2 linked regions of the Neurospora crassa OR74A genome follow. The protein of the gene in region 2 interacts with the protein of the main gene of each other region in a pairwise test. Links are inferred from orthologs where the notes say so. Each region holds a gene or a part of one and is shown on either strand. Other genes may lie near its edges.

Evidence for each region.
Region 1: the proteins of NCU08026 (region 2) and NCU00812 interact in binary tests that used the Saccharomyces cerevisiae proteins (3 or more experiments, as listed by UniProt). The link is inferred for Neurospora crassa OR74A from reciprocal best matches to the Saccharomyces cerevisiae genes MTR3 and SKI6.

What each region holds. Positions count from the first base shown.
Region 1 is NC_026501.1:7,077,040-7,081,592, reverse strand, and holds NCU00812 (exosome complex exonuclease RRP41), read left to right. Parts: upstream 1-1,669; 5' UTR 1,670-2,276; coding exon 2,277-2,584; intron 2,585-2,693; coding exon 2,694-3,207; 3' UTR 3,208-3,507; downstream 3,508-4,553. Other genes in the region: NCU00813 (disulfide isomerase), read right to left, coding at 3,508-4,553. UniProt on the Saccharomyces cerevisiae protein: Non-catalytic component of the RNA exosome complex which has 3'->5' exoribonuclease activity and participates in a multitude of cellular RNA processing and degradation events.
Region 2 is NC_026504.1:3,956,471-3,960,670, reverse strand, and holds NCU08026 (3' exoribonuclease), read right to left. Parts: upstream 2,524-4,200; 5' UTR 2,331-2,523; coding exon 2,198-2,330; intron 2,139-2,197; coding exon 1,411-2,138; 3' UTR 1,339-1,410; intron 1,277-1,338; 3' UTR 579-1,276; downstream 1-578.

The sequences.
Region 1 (4,553 bases), on a different chromosome or scaffold from region 2:
GAACCCTTCGACGACGCACAAAGGCGTAACGCTGACTTCCAGGTTTGTATTATGCAGCACCTTTGACCCACTGCAAGAATAGGTAGGTCACGTCCAGCTTGCCAAAGTCAAAGAAGCCATTGTTGTTTCGCTGACAATAGACTCGTCATCGTGACCCCATTCGTTGAGTTCCTTTCTCTTCGTTTTCACTCAAAGGGGCCCAAGACAGGACGCACGTGCATTGACTGGTGTTCTGGAGATTAGGTGAGCATGGGGGCGGGAAGGTTCCGTTGCTCTGGCGTCAAGGATAGCAGCGCTAGCCCTGTTTCTCGAAGCCTGGTCGCGGTCGGGTGGTCTGAAACGAGATGAACGGAAACGGGGGCAATGCCAACCAAAGAGCTTTGATCCCTAACACATGTCCGGATTAAGTGCCGCGAAATGTGTTAGCGAGCCCCCTTGGCTAATTCATGGTTCGTTCATCCACAGTTTGATTAAAAGTGTAATGCGAATTGGCGTTGGCGGGTCGTTCCTTGGTAGACTGGGCAACACAGCACTTCCCCATTGCCCCGTTTCTCCGTTCCATTGGACCCCGTGGGCTGGTCGGGCCACCAGCGCAGTAATTCTTCAATGAGTAAGCGCGCACCTCGAGGTTTTCACAGTGAAACGAGAAACAAACCGCGCCTGATGAAACTGTTTAGTTGACAAAGACATTGTGGTCACTGGATGACGACTTGCTCATGGTGGATCTCTGTTCAGTCATATCGATAGACTAGGCCAATTCGTGCTAGCCTGGGCCGGCTGTCTAGGGCTGCATCATGCGCCGACCGACGGCGCCTCCTAGTGTAGAGACTTGATGTTGAACAAGTCTCCCCAAAAACACCAAACGGAATCCTCTTGAACCTTGATCGATTCGCACCCCAGATAGGGAGCTCCAGGAGCATTGGCGAGCGTTCCAGACTTCTAGAACCGGATCACTCTTGGGTCCGAGATGATAGAAGATGACGACGCGCTCAACCGAGGCTTCCAAGAATACAAACCAATTGACATTTCGAACACCCAGCGCATCGCGGTACCCATGAGATGATCTTGGTGGCCGTTGTCCCGTATTCACTTAGCGAAGGGGGGAATGGAGGAATGCCGGTTTCCTCCTTGCTGTTGACAAGGGGTCACTGCCACTGCCACAGTGTGCCCCTGAGTAGAGGTAGCCTACCTACCTCTAGGTAGGCTACCTAGTAGTGATCACTCCTGAGTCCAGACTTCAGGCCCTCTCCTGCTCACAATGCACGATCAAGATCCCATCAACATTGCGCATTCGATTGATATCTTGCCATCAACTCACTGTACCGCTATGAGCTGGAGAGGTCAAATGGGGGCTGTCAAGATCACGTGGAGAGTAGATGGACGGGAACCTTCAATTCCATGTTCCGGGGCCATCACGTCCCGTCCTCTGTCTGCAGCTGCAAACAACTTGCCTACAAGTAGTGTAGAGGTATGCACAGACCACTTGCATGCATTTTCAGCTCCTGATGGAAGCGAAGCAGAACTTAAGCAGAAGCCCTGCGGATGGAACTCCCGTCCTGCCGAGTGAGGTGAGCGGTGGAGCCCGGCACGGCGACCCCGCGAACGTGAGACGCAGCGGATCTTGCCCCGCCCCGCCCAGCTAAACTTTTCCTGTCTTGCCATTGGAAACTTTCGGCCTGGCCCAACCACGTCCGTTTATTCCTAGCAAAAGGCGATTTCAAAGTCAACAACCGTCCACCAGAACCTGCTGTCGATTATTCAGACTGGTCGACCGGAAGCTCCGAATTCCCACTTTGCGCGATAACTTAGTCACTGAAACTGGGGCCCCGACACTTCCGCATTACGCAAGCCTTTCTCTCCTCCGACTCAACGTACCGAGAGCTTGCGCGTCGCTCGCGGCACGATATCGCATCGAATAATCTGTCCCATCGAGCCGAAACTGTACGCACTAACCACGATCTCCCAGATCGAGCTTGGCCGACCCGACTCGAAGAACGACTAGGGTACAACTACAAGCACAACCTGAGCTTGGTGGACACTAAGCAGGGGAAGCAAGAGCAAAAAATCTCGACTCAGGTCCGGCTCCCCAGACAGGCCCTCAGGGCGTTTGTTGTTGTTGATCCTTACTGGATACCGTACCCCAATCTCGACCTTTGGTGTACTCGCTACCTGCCCGGTAGAGAGATTAGCCCGAACCACGATACCCAGAGGAGTAGAGTGAAACGCTAGAACAACAGAACATAGAAAGAAACACCTGTCCACCCAGCTACACCGCTATGCCTCTCGATACTTCAGCATATAGCCTCGCGCTGTTGCGCGTCGACGGCCGCAGGTGGAACGAGCTGCGTCGCATCCATGCCCAGATCCGCACCCAGGCCGCCGCCGATGGCTCCAGTTACCTCGAGATGGGCCACACCAAGGTCATGTGTGTCGTTAACGGACCCAGCGAGCCCGGTCCTCGGAGGGGAGCCACGTCGGGCGGTGGTGGTGGCGGTGGTCAGTCCAAGAACGCCGAGGTTGCTGTAAACATTGTCATTGCCGGGTTTAGCTCGGTTGACCGTAAGCGAAGGGGGAGAGGTGATAAGTAAGTCAAAACACCCAGGGGTTGTTTCCCCCCCAGTGTCAACTACGGCTATTCGTCTGTCACTGTTCGCATAACTAACCCGTCATCCTTCCTTCTTCCATCATCACAGGCACATCCTCGAACTCCAATCGACGATATCTCAAGCCCTCGCTGCCAGCTTACACACCCACCTCTTCCCGCACTCCACCATCAACATCTCCCTGCACGTGCTCTCGCAAGACGGCTCTTTGCTGGCCGCCCTCATCAATGCCGCCACGCTCGCCTGCGTCGACGCCGGCATTCCCATGACAGACTACGTCGCGGCCTGCACGGCCGGCTCGACGTCTACATACGCGGCTAACGACGAGGGCGCCGACCCGCTGCTGGACATGAACCACCAGGAGGAGCAGGAGCTGCCCGGCCTGACGGTGGCCACATTGGGCGACAGCGACCGCGTGGCGGTGCTGGTCTGCGAGAGCAGAGTGCAGGTGAGTCGCCTGGAGGGCATGTTGGCCGTGGGCGTGGACGGGTGTAAGCAGGTGAGGGAGATCTTGGACAGGGTAGTGAGAGAGAAGGGGATAAAGATGATACAGGAGGGCACGGTCGAGAGAGGGGTTGGGTTGAATGACATGGAACTGGATTGAATGGACACTACTGAATCAATGGTTGGGCTCCGGGTCACAGAATCGGATATGGTACGGTAGGTAGCATTACAAAGGCTTGGAGCAAAAAAGAATAGGCAACATGACGAATTTGACGAATTTCACGACTATCAATGTAATCAAAAGTACAGCTCTTGGTCAGGTGAGCAACATGTCGTTTCTGTTAAACGTGCGCCAACTTTTGAAAGCGTTCTCCGAAACTGAAAGGTACCAAAAAACCTTCAACTTTTGACCAGCCATTCACTGACACAAGTCACAGCAAACTACGCTTTCACCAATCTCTCACAGCTCATCGTGACCACTGGCCGTCTTCGACTGGGCCTCAGGCGTCTCCCCCTCCTTTGAAGCAGCCTTCTCAGCCTTACCAGACTCTTTCTTTTCCTTCTTCTTCTCCTCCTCCTCCGTCGAAGAAGCCTCAACAACAATACCCTCCGGCAGCTTTTTCTTGGTGCCCTCGCTCAACCTAATCGCATCAATCCACGCCTCCACCTTGTCATGATCCGAGAAATCATCTCCCTCACCAACAGCGTCGTAGCGTCTCCACCATCCGCGACGGGCGTTGATGACGATGAGTTCAATGTCAGCATCCTCCTTGAGGCCAAGGGATTTGAGAAGGGACGCGCCGGCGGGGTTGGTGTCGAGGGGCACCTCGTAAAAGGGGAAGAGCTTGTGTTGGCCGAGGGCATATTTGAATTTTATTTCGGCGAGGTGGGTGAGGGCCTTTTGGGCTTTTTCGTTGGAAGAGGATACCAGCGCGAGAAGGCAGGTGCTGGATTTGGACGTGAGGCATTCCTTGACGAGCTTTTCGGGGGTGTTGAGGGAGGGGATGGGGAGGGCGGTGTGGATTATTACGGGAATCTCTTGGGTTGGGGCAGGGGTTTCGGAGGACGTTTCAGAGGAGGTTTCGGAGGAGGCGACCTTCTTGGAGTCTTGCTTTCCGTTTTTTTCACCACCGTTGGCCTTGCCGTTGGCCTTACCATTAGCCTTGCCATTAGCCTTGCCATTAGTCTTGCCATTAGTCTTGCCATTAGTCTTGCCGTTGGCCGGTGCTGGGTCCGGATTAGGCTGGGCCGCCTGGGAAAGGAACTCCACCATGGCGGCCTTGTTGATCTCGCCGTCGTACACAATACCAGGGGCATCACCGCCAGGCAACAAGATCAGAGTAGGGAGTTTGTCGACACCGAATGTGGATACCGCCTTGGACTGAGTGTTTCGCACCTGACCGACGGGCATGACACCGAGGAATTCAATGGCGACGCTCTTCAGCAAGGGGGAGGTGGTACCCTTGTCGGTGAAGAGGAGCGCTTTGGCTGTCTCGTTCTTGTCAC
Region 2 (4,200 bases):
GGAACGAATTGATCGACGGTACAAGCAAGGCTGGAAGGAGGAATTACCGGCCGCAAAACGAATGGACAAAACACTATGGAATAATTAAAAGTGTACAGTGTGGTAGGTAGGTAGGTAGGTAGGTAGGTAGGCAGCCGGGACCGTCGGAAGAAACGAGAGTAGGGGTGGTTTTGGGAAAAGTGAAATGACCAGGTGCGAAGCGAGAGAAAACTCGCCCGAAAGCTGGGTGAGGTGAGATTTTGGAGGATGACGGGAAAGATTGGATTGTCAGGTCGTTTTACAATTCCCGCCTGAGTGGACAATGTGGGCCGAACTGGGAAATGTCTGTAGTTTTTTGGAGGGACCGTGGGGGGGCAGATAAGGAGAAGTTCAGGGGAAAGAGGGGCCCGGGACCACGCCACGCCGGGGGGCGCCCCGTCGCTGAACGCGGCCGGCACTGTGCCAATATGTGAGTGGTGGTACCACGTCCGCCTTCGGATGCAGTGACTTCAGTTCCATTGGGTTTCCTTGGTGGCGTTCGTAATGCTGAAAGTTACGGACCAGAACGCCGGTAATAACGCAACGTTACTCGATCTTTGTGCAGATTATGTAGTTGATCATGTTATGTTACCTCCACCTCGAAATGTTGATAAAGATACGAGCTATTCACCACAGTCCCCTTCAGATAAAGTGATTAGATCGTGCCGGACACGAAAAGAAAGTAGTTCAGGTGTAGTGTATGTATGCCCTACGCAGTAATAGTGAAACCTCGGTTCATGATCAGCCACCACCTTTGGCCATGTCTGCCCTGCTTCGAACATGCCGTGCTGCTATGAACGAAACGATACGCGTAATCTCCCCACATCATGTTTCCAATTTCAGAAACAGACGATCATTGAGGCGAAGAACGTGGAAGCTTCTCATACCCCGCGGTTCATAATGTTTCGGCAGTCAACCTCAGAGGGTAGCTCTGCATACCAGCCACAACGCTTCTTGGACGTCATTCGTCCATCACACTGCGATCTTCCAGCTGAGTTTCAGCAAAAGAGCGCTCGCTCAACCTGTCAGACCTTGACAGGCATCTCGAAACTATTCCCGCCGGAAGTTGACCATTCCATTCTTGCAGTCAGCCGCCGAACCTCGGAACGCAGTTCTGTTGTCGCTGCTATCGATTGGCATCTTCCGTTACTTCTGCCCTACATATGGGCTATTGCGAAAGACCAAGTGGCTGGTAGCTCGACCTATTGCATCAGAAGCTGGTCTTCGGGTCGATAAATCGACCAAAATCGTAGAGGTACTCAAAGACCATGAACCGTCAGACCATAGAATTCCATGCGTTTTTCCCGTTGATGGACTTACAGGTTTCAATACGAGTATTTCCCATTCGCGCATAGCTAAAACAAATAATACATTGCCGCGCCGACCTCATGATCACCCAACGGTCTCGTTCAGGCAGTCCACGAGCACGCGGTTGGCGCTCTTGGAAGCCTGAATGCCCTTTTCAATCAGCTGCGTATAAACGTCCATATCGGACGCAGGTAGGTCACCCTTGAACCAGAGGTTGGTGACCTCTTGTCGTGTGGGAAGATATGCGATGCAGCACGCTGCAAGAACCTTCTCATGCTCAGAAGGAATCGGGTCGACAACTATGCTGGGAGCAGCGTCATTACCTGCGTCCTGTACCAACGCAGCAACACCTCCGGCCACAGTGTCGACGCAGTCAATGCCAGCGTCAGCAAGTGCAGCCGAGGCAACGGTGATGCAGCCACTCAAGGCATTCATGGTGTCCCAGGCCTCAATACCCTGGGCCTTGGAGGTCTCCCGATCTTGCTCTCCTTCAACAATGGAGATGATGATATCCACTCCACTCTTTGGCCAACGGTCAGCAATGATAGATCCCCGAAGAGCCGTCTCAAGGTGAGTGCCGAGATCTCTCTCGATCGGGTCACGAATGTAACCACGCCTTTGCTTGGTCGCAAAGGGTGCAAACTTGACATGGGTGGACAAGATGATGTGAGGAGAAAAAGGTGTTGACCTGGGCAAAGCTCTAGGTCCATGAACGCTGCAACTGAGCTTCAAGCCAGAGCCGCCGTTTCCAGACGACTCGATCTCTAGGTAAGCAGAGCCAGAGGCCGACGGTGTCACTCCCGTCTTGAGATCTAAACGTGAGGTTAGTCTGTGTCTGCGAAACAGGAGGGTTTGTCCTCGACGTGCTTACACATTTTGCGAATTACGTTCGCCGGGCGTGACCTTGTGACCTTGAAACCTTCGGATTGCTTCTCGGGTGCATCGTCATAGATGGGAGGGTTGGTAGTCCCAACCGGTCCGTTAATACGTCTTCTGTCGGCCATTTTGAAGCCAAGATACGAGGGCCGGAGATATGGTGGGCTTGGTGATTGCTGTGTTGTTTCCGATGCCCTTCTCTGGTCGAAGAATCCTGAGATAGGTGAAGAGGAAGAGACCTCGTCTGTGTATGGCTTTCCTTGTTTCACGGTTGGTAACTTCTGTTGGTACCTCTGTTGACTGTTGAAAACAAGACGTGAGAGTCGCCGTCTACACTGCAGTGGGTCCACTCTCAAATTCAAGTAGTTGTGGCGCAACCTCACATTCACTGTCGATTTTGATCAGTCAGCCACATGCCCCACCCAGAATTCCATGTCAAAGCCACCGATGGAGGAATTTTTTGCGCAGCTACAAAACTCTGCCGCCTTCAGTTCCAACCTCATCTTGAACTCTTCCACCAACCCACACCGTTCGCAACGGCAGGAACGGCTTGCGATTGTCGGCATTGGATCAATGCCTTCATTTGATATGGCCACTGTCTTTGGGGAGCAGCCATGATACCATGGTCTTACCGTGCTCATGGTCGCTTTGGTTGGGCAGCCTTCTGCGCTGGCGCAGCAATGGCATGGTCATGTCAACTGTCCAGGCATGCTCTTGGTTATTCTGCGATGGCGAACCCCATTGCTAGAGAGCATGTCCTGGCTGTCTGACATGGCCGACGTTGGTTCGCACGGATAGAGTAAGTTTATTTCCCCTTGCCTTTCACATCTCATGATGATCCCATAACCACAGTTCTCGCGATAATCTCTGAGCGATCGAACAAACATGCACTACCATCTGACTACTCCTTCAACACATCCTTCACTTGCAACTCATTTGGAGGAACCGTTGACTGACAATCAATAGTACAGACAAAGTTGTTATTGTCACCGTTGCTGTTCCACTCCGTTTTCTCAGTCTCTACCCACTAGGTAAGCATCACATTGTTTTCCTTTCTGTTTTCTTTCCCCCACCTGACATCATCACCCACCCGATTGTCCATGATGAAACAAAATATTTTCAGTTCTGCTTCTGAATAATAATGAGCGATAACCAATTATACCAAAACCTTCTGATATGGCAATCACCCCAACTCTTTCTTGCAACGACAGCCCTCACCACACATGCTGCGAGCAAGTTGGCTAACAAACTTCAAGTTATATAGGATCTGAAAACGATCTTGCGTCTAGTGGGAGAGTCGACATGCCCATCTGGTAGGTACTTTGCCTTTTTTTTTTTTCCTTTGTCCCATGCACAATGATGACAACAGTCTATCCATTCAACGATATGTACGGGCCGAGCCATCCATCCGCACTGGAGCGTCTTTCGGGGCGTGAGGACTAGTTGTGGTGTCTCCCTTCGGGGTGTCATTTGGCTTCCGTTGTCCGAGTCTCCTGCGCACCGTTTTGGGGCGTGGGAGGCTTGGGCCGGCTTTGTAGGGCTGAGTTAAAACGGCTTGTCTGATCTGTGTCGTCTTCGCCTTCTGCTCGATGCCGATTCGCGTATGACCTTGAACTGACCGGTCAGTAGTTGATGGCGTGAACGTTTCATACGTTTTGTTGCAACGCATCTTTGACGAGGTAAGGTTTGTGTTCATGACTCGACAACTCAATGACCCCAGTAAAATTGGATGTAGTTGAGGATCGACGGTGTGCCTGTCCTTGACATTTACATAGGGCTTCAAGATATCAGCAAGGATAGAACAATGAAAACAAGAGTTGCAAAATAGTTGATTATCTCCAATCAGACCCAAGATATTGCCCTTGATGATGTGCAGGAGAAGTCCAAACCCAGTAGAACGAATGACCGGACACTTGCCGCGACGTAAGCCCGGTTTCCCTTCAAATCATCTGTGTCTCGAGGTTGAACATCAAATAAATTGAAGACACACCCTGATGT